2 linked regions of the Drosophila melanogaster genome follow. Changing the gene in region 1 together with any one later gene gives a genetic interaction. Each region holds a gene or a part of one and is shown on either strand. Other genes may lie near its edges.

Evidence for each region. Genes that interact genetically often act in the same process or in processes that back each other up.
Region 2: of sna (region 1) and noc, changing one enhances a phenotype caused by changing the other (phenotypic enhancement), as found in Drosophila melanogaster (2 studies listed by BioGRID).

What each region holds. Positions count from the first base shown.
Region 1 is NT_033779.5:15,475,661-15,482,419, forward strand, and holds sna (snail), read right to left. Parts: upstream 2,601-6,759; 5' UTR 2,448-2,600; coding exon 1,275-2,447; 3' UTR 933-1,274; downstream 1-932. UniProt on the Drosophila melanogaster protein: Essential for the correct specification of ventral-dorsal patterns.
Region 2 is NT_033779.5:14,488,261-14,495,019, forward strand, and holds noc (no ocelli), read left to right. Parts: upstream 1-2,598; 5' UTR 2,599-2,985; coding exon 2,986-3,075; intron 3,076-3,377; coding exon 3,378-4,901; 3' UTR 4,902-5,759; downstream 5,760-6,759. UniProt on the Drosophila melanogaster protein: May negatively regulate Notch-induced cell proliferation in the eye-head primordium. Required for development of the supraesophageal ganglion and ocelli.

The sequences.
Region 1 (6,759 bases):
AACAAATTGAATCCAAATACCCACTCACCTTGCCTTGATAACCATACGTGCCTAAGCTAAAATATCCACCCATATCTTGGATTTATTCCTCATACCTGTTCAAACTAAAGTATTATCACCGCGCGGGTCTAATCAAATAGTCAGATAAACCTCGACGGGTTCTCGGTTTAGAGCATGCTTCGGTGGTAATCCAATCCAATCAGGACCTGAACTACCGTCTGCCAGTCAATCAGGAAGGACTCGATAAGCAGCCGTCGCTACGTTTATCACCTGCACTCCACGGTCCTCTGGTGTCCTTTGGTATCCTTTAGGGACTCAGGACGCATGCGCCGCCATCAGTTCGGCAAAATGCTGGAAAAGGATTGCAGAAATGTAAACGTGAAGCGATGTCGGTGTCAGCTAATTAAATATTTGCATTGGCAAAAGGTGCAAAACGCCGAGCGATATGGATTGAAATTGATGGAATGCTATTAATGGGGGCGGGTTAGAAGGAAGTCCCCGAAAAGGAAAGTGTATGACAAATCGGTTCCCTGTTTGCACATGCCAAAGGTGTTTTCTCCGAGAATTCGATATTGCTATTGTTGTGATTTCTGTTTTTCGAGAGGGTTGGCGGAAATTGTCACAAAATATGAACAGGGGCAGACCCCAAAATGCGGATGTTTGGTTTCCTGTTAATTATTGTACATTTTGAAGGCACATAGAAACTGTAGAAGGAAAGATTACATTTTTTTAATGCGTTTCGATGAATGCTGTTACTACCTAAAATGTTTTCTATAACTTTTGGTTACAAATTTTTAAATTTTTTTATTCACATCTGTCTGTATTTGAGCCCAAATATTAGTGATAGAATTTAAATTGAATATTTCTATACAGTTTCCTTCTGTGAGAATTTCTTTCAAAATTGTTAAAAATAATAAAGACCATATAAATTTCTTTTCGTGAGTTTTATTTTATAAAAATATTTAATTCTTCTCTTTAAGCTAGGAATAATCTTAACAACAGTTGGCTTAACAGTACTGAGAATACATAAATAAGGGTATATTATAATTAAATGAATAGATTTGGTAAAATGCTGCGTGTGACAATGAGGCAATATACATGAACTTAAACTTAGAATACTATAGCTGAAATAAATATAGTAATAGTAGCACCAAAACCGAATCGACTTAGTACAAACTTATAATAGGTATTGTCTGTTTGTTTGGTCTTCGCCAGCGGAATGTGAGTTTGCTTAGGTAATTGTGTCCTGCTAAGGGATTCATATGTCGAGAATCCTACGCAATAGTGATGGTGCAGTTGGAGCTGGAGTGCTTGTTCAGGAGCGACATCCTGGAGAAAGATTTGTGGCACACCTGGCAGGCGTACTTCTTGACGTCCACGTGGGTCTGCTGATGAGCTCGCAGGTTCGAGCGGTCGGCAAAGGATCGTGGGCAGTCGGGGCACTGGAAAGGCTTCTCTCCAGTGTGGGTGCGGATGTGTCCCTGGAGCAGCCAGGGTCGAGAGAAGGCCTTGCCGCAAATGGGGCACTTGCAGGGCAGAGTGTGGGTGCGGATGTGCATCTTCAGGGCTCCAATGGTGGTGTACAGCTTTCCACACTCCTCGCAGGAGTGGGTCTTCTTCTCCTGATTACACTCGGCTGCCGGGCAGTGGAACTGACGGTGCTTGGACAGGCCCATCGAGGTGGAGTACATCTTCTGGCACTCGTCGCACTTGAAGCGGTAGTTTTTGGCATGATTGGCGGCAACACTCGCCGACGAGGCACTCATGGCCGGAGTGTAGGAGTATCCCGATGAGCTGCTTACACTGGCACCGCTGCTGCTGGACTTGGCCTCATCGAAAAGGTGGAACAGAGCCGGCAGTGGGATGTCATTTCGCACTGAAAGATCCTCTGGCTCGGAACCGGTTTCCAGATCGGATCCGGGGCTGGAGGGCGGCGTCATCTGCTGGTAGCTGTAGACCGACTGGGGCGAGGCCATCGAGCTGGCTGGCGAGGGGAAGGCGGCCAGATGGGGCTGATAGCTGCTCCACAGGGCAGAGATCGGATTGCAACCGGCGGCCATCACAAAGGCGGACTGGAAGGGATTAATCGTGGTGGGGGTGGCGGTGGTATATCCCGTTGTTCCTGCCGTTAGTCCACGCATATGGATTTCGGTGGGCAGGTAATCCTGGGCCTCCACTGGCGGCGACAGCAGGCAGGAGTTGGAGCTAGAGCTGGAGTTCCTTTCCGGTGTTTTTGAAAGGTTCAGCACATAGTCACGTTTCGGTTCCGGCTGCTGATAATCCTGGGTCTCCTCGTCGCGACCCCGTTTCAGGGATAGATCCTGCGGCTGATCCTGGGCAAACTGTGAGTCCTTGGTCAGGGCCAAGGCCTCCGTTTGTGGCAGACGCTCCTCCACGAAGACAATGGGGCGCTTCTTTAGCGGGCAGCTTTTGTAGTTGGCGGCCATTTTTGATGTGTGTGTGATTAAGTTTTAGTTTCCGGTACTGATCGAGATGGGTAAATCGGGAGATCGGCGATCGAGAGGCGAGTTATATAGTTCGGGATCGAGTATAGAGCGGTGGTTGCGTTCTCAACGAGAGCTGAGGTGGCTGTGACAGGTCAACAGTCGAGCACGCTCTTTTATACCCGGAACTCTGCGCCTCTGCCGACGCCGCTGTCGCCATTTGGTGGTGGTTCTTCTTCAAAACAGAAAAACACTCGCACGTGTGCGTCGCTACCTAGCAACAACAACAGCACTTTTCCCATACCCTTATTGCGTATTTCCCTCACTTCCCTCTACCTGCTCTCTCACTCTCTCTCTCTCTCTCTTCCTCCATTTCCCACCTCTCTCTCGGAAGAGCAGACGCAGGCGCACCCTCCCAGGAATAAGGATCCCCCGTATAAGTTATGACAGATCTGGTGGCTCTCCAATTTCCCGATACGCTCACAACCCACCCGTAATAACTCGTGCAGGTCCGGGTCCGAAATGCAAGTTACAATATCGCCTCCCTACCTATGGATCACCCTAAGTAATTTTCTATTTTTAAGCACGAGTCAAATAGGACTCCTAGTACTCTTCGTTCATGGGGTGGTTTCCTCACTTAGATTGAGTGCTTCAAGTACATCTGCCGATGCTCTAAATTCGGTTTTTGGTGGGGAGTTGAACCTGAGCGATACGCACTGACAAAAATGACACCTTCGCAGAGAGGTGTTCCAAAAATAGCACTGATAATGAGCCGAATTCCGAGACACCAAGTGTCAACTCTGGGGTGCACTCTACGCTGACTTATGGATCATCTCCAGTGGCTCATTGGCAGCGATCGATGAGAGCTAGGAAAACATAGCTCAGGGCATAGGAGATGTCATTAAAAACTTGACAAGGAATAGACGAAGAGTGTCAAGTCTCCTGTGAGCTTGGATCGAAGAGATCTCCTGTTCCCACGATTGGTCCGTGAAAGAATGACGATTCGAATACGAGTTACACATTTTAACTAATCCCATGGTCATCTTATTAGTATGTGAAGTTCTGCTGTCTTAAAATCAATTCGATTGATAACGTAAAAAAAATCATACTGCCCCTCAGCATCCAGCTGAGTCCTGGACGATTCCCACAATTCTCGCTTTCCAACTCCCCTGATCTTTGACTCCTTGCCTCATCGCGCACACACAACTTTCCCAGCTAGCACCTCCAGACTTTCAAGCCACCCCTCCAACTATCGATGGGAAACTTTCCCAACTCCCACTCCCGCATGGAGGCTGACATGCAGACTTTGTACCCGGAAAAACAGACAAGCCCGCATAGCCAAGTCCGATTTTCCGCGTCGTCAAAAAAAAAAAACCAGGCGCGGTGGTAAAATTGGAAAAAATCCATAGCAAACCCAAAAGTTTTGATAAACCCAAGAGGTGACAAAAAATTCCAGCGCGGAATTCCAATTCCCCGCGATCCTGCAACCAATGGCGTGAGGGAAGATGGGAAATGTCGAGCCAATAACCCAGCCGCATTTCCATTTCGTATTTCCCTGCAATGGATTTTCCTTCGACGAATGTCCGGATGTGGATCAGCGAAGGATTTAAAGTAATTTCCCATCTTATCCAATTACGCAGTCAGCGAAACTCAAGCAAAACAAGCCACGACGAGTGGAAAAACTGGCTGGGGGTTTTCTATATGTCCTCACATCCTACCTGGTGGGTCATCCCGGATATCTCGGTTATTACGTGTGTTATTCCGCGCAATGATCGCCATGTCACATCCATGCACATATCTACCTAATGATCACTACGATGAAGTCCTCGGCCGCGGAATTGCCCGATGAGCACCGCGGATAACCCGGCCAAGTCCTCATTGATGTCGCGGGAAAATCCGCACTTGTCGAACCCATATATCCGTTGAAGTACCTGACTTGCAAAAATTCCTGGTCGGGTTGGCCCGCTCATTAGTATTAGGTAGATTGGCGGCCAGTGTTTTCCGCTTCATTCATTACTTCATTATTTTGGGGAAAACCCTTTCGGGGGTTAAATACTTTTTCCCCGACTCGCTCGGGATTTCTGCAGGTGCTGGGATGAAGTTCGATTTTCCATAGACATTGTTGTTGTTCTTGTCAATTTTTGCTGAGAATAGGACCGTCCCATTTTTGCACCTTGTTCCCTGGCTCATTTGTTCAAGTTGACAATGAAGAGGGAACACAGGGATCTACAGAGCTCGACTGACATTGTTCGAAGAGGAGCCATGCGAAATAGTAAATCCGAGTCACAAAACAGAACTAGGTCGACAACCAGTGCAAAAAGGAGACATTATGAACGATGATCGAAATGTATTTTAAGAACAACACATTGAACTTTGTAATTTTATTCATAATTAATGTTACGGAGCTTGTAAAAAATGTTTTTCGTTTTGTTCTTCTTATTAAATATTCGCATAAAACACTCAGAAAAATCATATCACATTTTCGCCCAAGGATAACTGTAACTGTTTTTTCAGCTTCCTAGACTGTGTTTCTCTAACCAAAACCCCCACTCCTTCACAGGCCATCACAGCCTAACAGTATATCCAGGTCACCTGGCCTGGTGAACCTTTTGCAAAAACGAAGATATAAAGAGGAGAGAGAAAAAGAAAGGAACGAACATTAGGGATACCACCAAGGAAAACAAACTATGGCCCAAGATATACGATGTGTGATGTCGTTGACAATGAATTGTTGATTACTATACTACCCCCAGGTCAGGCTCTCCTTTTTTTGGCACGGAACAAAGGAGCTGCGATCCATAAATCGAAGATCGGAGAAGCAGGGAAAATCACTGCCACGGGCTGTATGTGTGTGCATGTGGACCGGGTGCATTGCACAATCAATAGGTAGGTTCGCGGCACAATGGCCAAATACAGTGGAGTAAATGTTTTGAAAAGCCAGCGAAAGGAATTGCTTCTCGGAATCCTTCGGCGGGGCCGGCGTATCAATGTCCTTTAGCCAGAAGAAATCAAAAAGTTGGATCACCTGGCCGTATCTGTCGGCGTTTATGTGCGGGTGCGGGTTCCATCGCTACCTGTGGCCCATTGTTCGCTGCAAATAGTGAATGACCCCCGACCCCGACCCTGGCGGGTCTGAAAATCTAAACGGACCCCAAAAACCATCCCAGCAGCAAGCTCTATTGTCGCAAGTCCTGCACTTGTGGCAGCTGCCTTGACTTCCAGTTCGATTCCCCCTTGGCTTCCCTTCTTCTTTGAGGTTCGACGCAGGTTTCGCGCCTATTCACGGTTCGTTATCCTGTCAATTCAGTGCCGACATTACAGATCCTGTTGTCAGTGTCCTGTCGTCATCGCTGCCCCCAACGTTCCATTATGCTACGGCGACTAAGCTGATTAGGGGACATCGCGTGTGTCCTGCTTATTGGCCACACTAAACACTCTGTTTAGCCTATTACACGTGTCTCCTAAATGAAGTGTGTAAATATTATTTAACTCTGTTGCGGTGATTACGGACTACATAAAAAAAGGGAGAGTTTTTTGTCTGGTGAAATTTACTACAGGGGTTGAATGTGATTATTCACTAATGATTATAGTGATTTCCGCTTGGAAACGCTTCCGAAAAGGAGAGCCACCATTTTGTGCTTAACCGAATTATACTTTCTTCTACATATATATAAAAATAATAAAACATATCCCAATAAATTCATTTTGTTATTATTTTGATTAAGTTAATTACATATAGTTGAGTTAGGGAAAAATGGAATTATCAGACTAAGAAGTTTCTCATTCAACCAGTGGTTTTTTATATTACTTTATCCCTAAATATATGGGACATCTTATCTCCTTTGCCAGACGCCCACCACGTTATGCCAGGTCAGGCCGATGAAACAAACTCCCCTATTAACAAGATTTCCAACACCTTTTTGGCAGGACCTTAGATGCTCCTTGTGCAGAGCAAAAAAAAAAAAAAACCCGCACAAACACAAAGCAGACAAGGAGCCGTTAAGAAAAAATCATTGCACCGGGCGGACGGGTGAACGGACAACAACAATGCACCAAGGAAACCCAGAGGATATCGCATCTGCGCCTGCGGGCAGGCAGGAGCATTTTGAAATCAGGAATCAGCACAAATCGGTGCTGGAAATAATGTCAACTCGAGGGTGGCGCGTTGGTGGCTTGGCATTGACAGCTGCAGCTCAGCCCAGGATTCTTCTCCTTTGGCGCGTCTTCGTCTTGGGCCATCGGCTTGGGTTTTTCGTTTTCAGCTCTTGGGTTTTGGTTTTTGGCAAGATGTGCATCTGTTTGCCCTCAGCCCAAA
Region 2 (6,759 bases), 990 kb from region 1:
CCACTGGTGTGCATAAATCAAAAGGTAAATGGCTGCATTTTTATGACTGCGCCGCCATCGTCGTCGTTCGCCTTTTGCGCTGCTTCGCTTTTATCACACAAACATTTCTGTGATAATAAATGCCATAAAAATGAAGAAATATGTGGTTAATTTTATGTGCTGCCTCTGCCATTCCGCCGCTTGTTGTTCTTGCTCTTGTTGTTGTAGTTGTTGTTGTGGCATCCAGTATACTTCCTTTTTATATTCCCCATATAAATGTTTTCGCGGCTACAAATTTTTCCCACTACATTTGGATATCTCTCGGCGCTTTCCTTTACAACTTTGGCGAAGATATCGAGAGTATTCGAATTCGAAACTCCTTATAGTTGCATAAAACGAGATTTTTAGTCTTAAAGGACTCTGATGCACTATATAACTAGAAGCTCAATATAGTTTTTTATTTCAGATCTTATTATTGTTAACCTAATAGAACTGCTGCATCTTTAACTGCGTACCTTGTAATTTAAATTACGCTTTTTTTTATATTTGTAATCTTCGCTACACGACCTCCTTTTGAATAAAATGAAGTTATCAACGCTGAAATGCTGCAGGGTGAGCATTAGTCTGAAAGCAAATCGCTTTAGTCACGGTATCAAGGTGTTCCGCACTTCCGCTTGGCAATTTCTTCGGCTTCGTGTAATTTATAATATTTTTGTATTATTTATATGACACCCCCGGCCACTGGTTTGAATTTACCTTCAGCCCACTCCCGCAATTTGCTAGTAAATAATTCACATACAGGAGCAGCGAATTTATGACGCTGACAAAGTGGCCATAAAAAATAACAAATAATAAGAGAAAATGCTATGGAACGTGTGCGTAAACTCTCCAACTCTGCAGCAGTATACATGCATATATACACGTATATACATTATTTTGGCAACACTTTTTTCGCTTTGTTGCACGCAAAACCGCAAATTATGTCTAAGCCGTATCGTAAAGTATCGCAGCACGCTCTTAACTAATAAATCCATCATTTCGCCGAAGGCCGAGAGTGTTTCCTCTACCTGTTTTAGCCTCGAAGGTATTTCGCTGCCGGGTTTCGGCTTAGGGATTCCCACAGAAAAATGTCTAAACACTCTAAATCGGGATTAAAAGTGTCGCTTCTGGGTTTTCGGCTTATCGTCCATATTTATACAGATTTTAATTTACTTGCCAGGGGCTTTGAAGGGTTCTTAAAACTCAGCTTGGTGATTAGGTAACATATCCCAAGGGCCAGATATTCCAAAATCCCCTCGGGGCTTGAGTTAAACATCTTGATACATAGTTTATGGTTAGTCCAACCGATTTGGTTGGGATTACGTTGGAGTTTTAATATCGGTTAGGTAAAGTGGCTAGAATGATCTAGATCAACAAAATCTAAATGATTAGTCACATAATATTTTCTAACTACTTAAATAATAGTAATCAATTATGTTTAGAAGGAGCTAGCCTATTATTAGCTCTTAATAATTTAATATAAATCAGCCTCGTTTTGCAATTAAACATTATTAGTATTCAGTAATTATCTTGAAACCAAGCAACGTGATTAACGCGATTTCGTGCGAAACGTAAATAAGTAAGTTAGGCAAGTGCTAACTGGAAAATTCAATCCAATTGTAGAGCGATTAAAAATGCAGCGGAGTTAACCAAACCATTAAACTATTACCAACTCTCTGAGTGCAACATGCCACAACACACATTCGCTTGTTTGATATGTGCAGATTAATTACACACACACCAAGGAAGGAGGAAAAATTGCTTGGAAAAACTTTTCGACGCGACAACAAAACAACGATTTCCACTTAAACAGCAAAACAGGAGCCACGAAAAAAAAGAGGGAAAACCAACCGCAGAAGTTAATCGAAAAACGCTAAACAAAGGCCACAACAACAGCTGTGCGAGTGAGCGGGTCAGAGGGAGAGAGGTGAAGTGCCAGAGCGGGAGAGCGACAAACAAATTAATTTTTATATGACATTAAAACGAGCGAAGCGAGGCGATGGAAATGGTTGAAGAGTGTGTTTAAGTGTTGAGTGGTTTGCTTTTCCGAGCAACAAATCTCGGTGCGAAGACAATGAGGCCTCTGCCGCGCCGCTGCCGCCACCACTGCAGCGCTGCTGCTGCTGACAGCCCCATCAAGAAAAAGTTCCCCCAGAGAGACACAGAGAGGGAGAGTGAGCGTGACATATGTGCCAAGATAAAATTAATGTGCCCCCCAAAGCAGCCACAACAACAACAACTCACTGAGCGGCGCTCTCAGCGCTCAACTGTTGCTCTCTGGACGAGTGTTGCCGTGGTGCAGCCATATTATTATGATTTTACAGGAAGCCAAATCGGAGAGCGAGAGAGAGAAAACCTGTCTTGGCTTCCATTGCAAGGCGCATGCGATTGTGATTGGACAAAAAGTACGCCATATTTGAAAATTACGCACAGTGCATCTCGCTCGCATGCAGCAGGCGGTGCTCCTCTAACGCAGGCAGCAAGCCAAAGTGTGCAGCGCTGCTCGCCGGAGAGCGCTCTCTCGCGAGTGAGCGAACGCTTCGCTGCGAGGGCAGTTACGCTCGCTGCCGCAGTCGTTGAATTCAATTCGAATTTTGACTTCGCAGCGTTCAGACGTGTTCGGAAAAACCTGAAAACCATTCGAGTGACAAGAGATATAACCAACAAAAATAAGAAACCTCAGTCAACTGTGGTCACTGATCGAGAGTGTTTCGTTTCGAGTGAAAAAGTGAAATCAGAGCCAAAACACAAATCGCTTGGCCAGCAAATTGAAATAGTGCTACAGAGATAAATTCTCTGCTCAAAACTACAAGTGTGTTAAATCGCCGATTTTCTTTGGATTTACCAACGTTTGCCGACGCATTTCTGTGGATTAACCTCATCGTCGCCGAAGCAAAGCTACGCATTTGTAGCCTTGTCTCGCAACTCACGTGGATTACCCTCGAGAAAACACACTAAGCAACTGATATGGTTGTCTTGGAAGGAGGCGGCGGCGTTGTTACCATCGGTAACAACCAGTACCTTCAACCGGATTATCTGGCCCCATTGCCAACGACGGTTAGTATTGACTAAGTTAAAAGCTGTAAAATTTTGGGATGGCCGTAAAATCTATGGTTTTAAATTTTGCGTACTTAAGAATTAAATTTGGAAAGTTCATAACATCAAACAATTTTTCAAATCTAAAAATTTATATCGTCATTAATACTTTCACGAACAAACTTTCTTTGGAAGAAATTGCATTTTCTCATAGTTTTAACTTCTCACCAAATTAAAATCAATATTATCTTAAAACTCGTAAAAAACTTTAAAATTACAAAAAACCTAATTCCAACTCCACATTTTCATTTTATTCATAACAGATGGACGCCAAAAAGAGTCCCTTGGCTCTGCTCGCACAGACTTGCTCCCAAATTGGAGCGGATTCGTCGGCAGTGAAACCCCTGCTGGCAATGGACAAGAACAAGACAAAGCCCGGAGCATGCTCCTCGTCGTCGAACTCGTCGAGTTCCTCGGGCAGTGCTGAGATCTCGGCAGCCAAGTCACCCTCCGGCCAGGCCAAATCGCCCAAGTCGAGCACTCCAATCAGCTCGACGGCAACCAGCGCAAGTCTGAGTAATACCAGCACCGGTGAAATCAAACTGGCCTTCAAGCCCTACGAGACCAATGTGCTGAGCCACCAGAACCAGAACTCCTTCAAGAGCAGCTCTTCGCTGGATGCGGAACCCACGCGTCCCAGCTCTAAGAACTCCTCATCCGCCCAGGAGCGTGTGCCATCGCGCAGCAAATCAAATGCCACGCCCACAGATGGCGGCAAGGCGGAGATTTCCGCGCACGATTCCTCATCCAGCCGAAAGACTGTCTCCCCGTCGGGATCGTCGCAACGCGGCGCCAGTCCCATTGTGCGCTCCGGCATGGAGGTGCTGAACAATGCCAACGGAACCGCCCAGCATCCCAAGGAAATGAGCAGCATGGCTGCGGCGGCAGCAGCAGCAGCAGCGGCTTACAAGGCCGCCGGACCCTATGGGCTGAATCCCCTGTCCGCCCTGTGCTGCCCGCCCGGAATGGAGCAGCACGCCAATCCCGCTTTCCGGCCACCGTTTGCCGGAGGATTCTCACACCATCACGCCGCCATGTTGGCAGTTGCCGCCAATGGAGGATATCCAGGCGGAGCTCCCGGCGGTGGACCAGCCGGACAGCCCAATCCGTACATAAGTTATCAGCGCATCAAGACACCAGCTGGCGGCGAGGCTATAGTGCCAGTCTGCAAGGATCCGTATTGCCAGGGATGTCCCTACTCGGCGCACACGCAACAAATGCTCATGGGTGCCCCCTGCCCCGCCGGATGCACCCAGTGCGAGCATCAGAAATACGGCCTGGCCATGGCCAGTGCCGCCGGACTGCCACCAGCTCATCCATACTCGCAGGCAGCGGCCGCTGCTGCGGCAAACGCGGCGGCAGCCCGTTCGGCACCCTACGTGTGCAGTTGGGTGGTGGGCGATGCCTACTGCGGCAAGCGATTCCAGACCTCCGACGAGCTCTTCTCCCACCTGCGCACCCATACGGGCAATCTCTCCGATCCGGCGGCTGCTGCGGCGGCCTTGGCCCAATCGCAGGCTCAATCCCTGCTGGGAACCCTATTTCCGCCATCGGCTCTCCGAGCTGGCTATCCAACACCACCACTGAGTCCCATGTCAGCGGCTGCGGCAGCGGCGAGGTATCATCCATACGCCAAGCCACCACCAGGCGCCTTGGCTGGAGGACCTTCGCCCTTCGGCGCCGCTGGAGCATTCAATCCTGCCGCGGCGGCTGCGGCAGCTGCTCTGGGACCCTACTACTCGCCATACGCCATGTACGGCCAGAGGATGGGAGCGGCTCATCAGTAAAGTGACTTCCACAAGAGTTAAATACCAAAAAAAAGGGGATTACGTTGAAGAGACAACCAGAGATATAGAATGAAACCATTTCCAAACCCTGTTTGAGATACTTTCATGGAAAACAAAAAAGATAAAAGCACAAAACGATTGCAAAGGCTGACACATCTCTGGCTTTTGCGCTATTCTGTGATACTAAACTGTAGTTTAAAGAGCGCTAGTTACACTTAAGTTTCGCAAACAGAAAATAATCAACCACCTAAAGAACAGTAGTAGCCGCAAAAATAGCAGGATCACTCTCTTCTATCATCGTAAATGTCTACATTGTTAGGTAAAAAGAAGTGCAGCCAACACGAAGTTCACTCACTCTTATTTGTTCTCAAAGTTCAACCAAAGTTTTTTAAGTCTTAGCCAGAACACATTCTACAACTTCCAATTTTGTTAATGAAGAACCCATTGCTGAGATGTTCAAACATTGTTTTAGTTTAACTTCGCTTTAAGTTCTATTAACTATTATTACGATTATCTGCAAGCATACAACAAACCAACAATTGAAATAATGTTCTTTAAGTCAACTTATATTTAAAGTAAGTGTAATGAATATTTGTAATACCAACCAATCAGAGATAAAAAATTAAAAAAAAATAATAATAATTACGAAAAATAAAAATGAATATTTCATATAATTATGTACTGTGTGTAAATTCTATAAATATAAACTAGATTTGCTATTTACTCCTTGATGTACGCAAACCACAATACGATCTACACAAGAAGCCACGGAATATCAAACAAAAATAACTTAAACTACATGCAACACATTCGTATAAAACTGAGAAATATACAAGAAAAAACAATTTTTAGAAGCATAAACCACGAATCTTTTCTTTTGAAACAAACTCTTTTACAGCTGGAAAACTTTTTGTTGGGCCATAATTTCGCTTCGGTTATCTGCGCTGTTTGGCTAGCTCACATATGGGTCATAAATATTGCTGATAATGCTCCACTAGGTTTTCAATTATATTTACATAAGGCTGAGTGGCAAATTCCGGAAACCATAACAAGGTCTAATTCTCTTAATTTTATAGTTCTTACTTAGAAATGGGACTAAAGGAGTTTTTAATTCTGAGAATTGAACTGCTTCTTATAAGTATCATTGATATTAAATGTAAGGTTCTAGGCAAATAAATAAATAAAATCTTATAGGTTATTCTTTAAAAATATTTTAATTAGTTTTATTTTAGACAAAAGGTATTTTAATGTGCTCTCAATTTTTTCTGGATGCACTCGAAGAAATCTGGGTTTCCCCATCTCACCTAACACATTTGAAATTCAAATTAGTACTATTAATTTGCATTGCTTGTTGCATTTTAAGCGCACTCAATTTGTATGCAGCGATTCGTATTCAGCCTAAAAAATCAAATCAAAAGCAAATTTCAATTTCACGAGGGGTGGGGTAAATAACTTGATTGGGCAAGCCTTAATAAAACAGTCGCCGGCAACAGTCATAAAACACCCAAGCTGAAAATTAAAAATCAATAAAAATCACATTTGTACCAACAATGTGTATAACAAAAATCAATTGCCATTCAATGAGCAACTCAAATGCATATATAAATGAATATGTGTGCATATGTACGTATGTATGTACATATAAAAAAATCGCTGACAAAGCGAAATGACTAACATTATTCACAAAAAATATGCTTCAGAAATATCAAAATCTGAAACCAACCAGACAACTCAAACTTAAGCAACAATCAGCCACAGCAACAATGAAAATCAATGGTGATATTTCGAGTGTATCTCATAAATAAATTAATTGTGACAATATTCAATTGATTCGATTTGAAATTATCGCATTCAACTG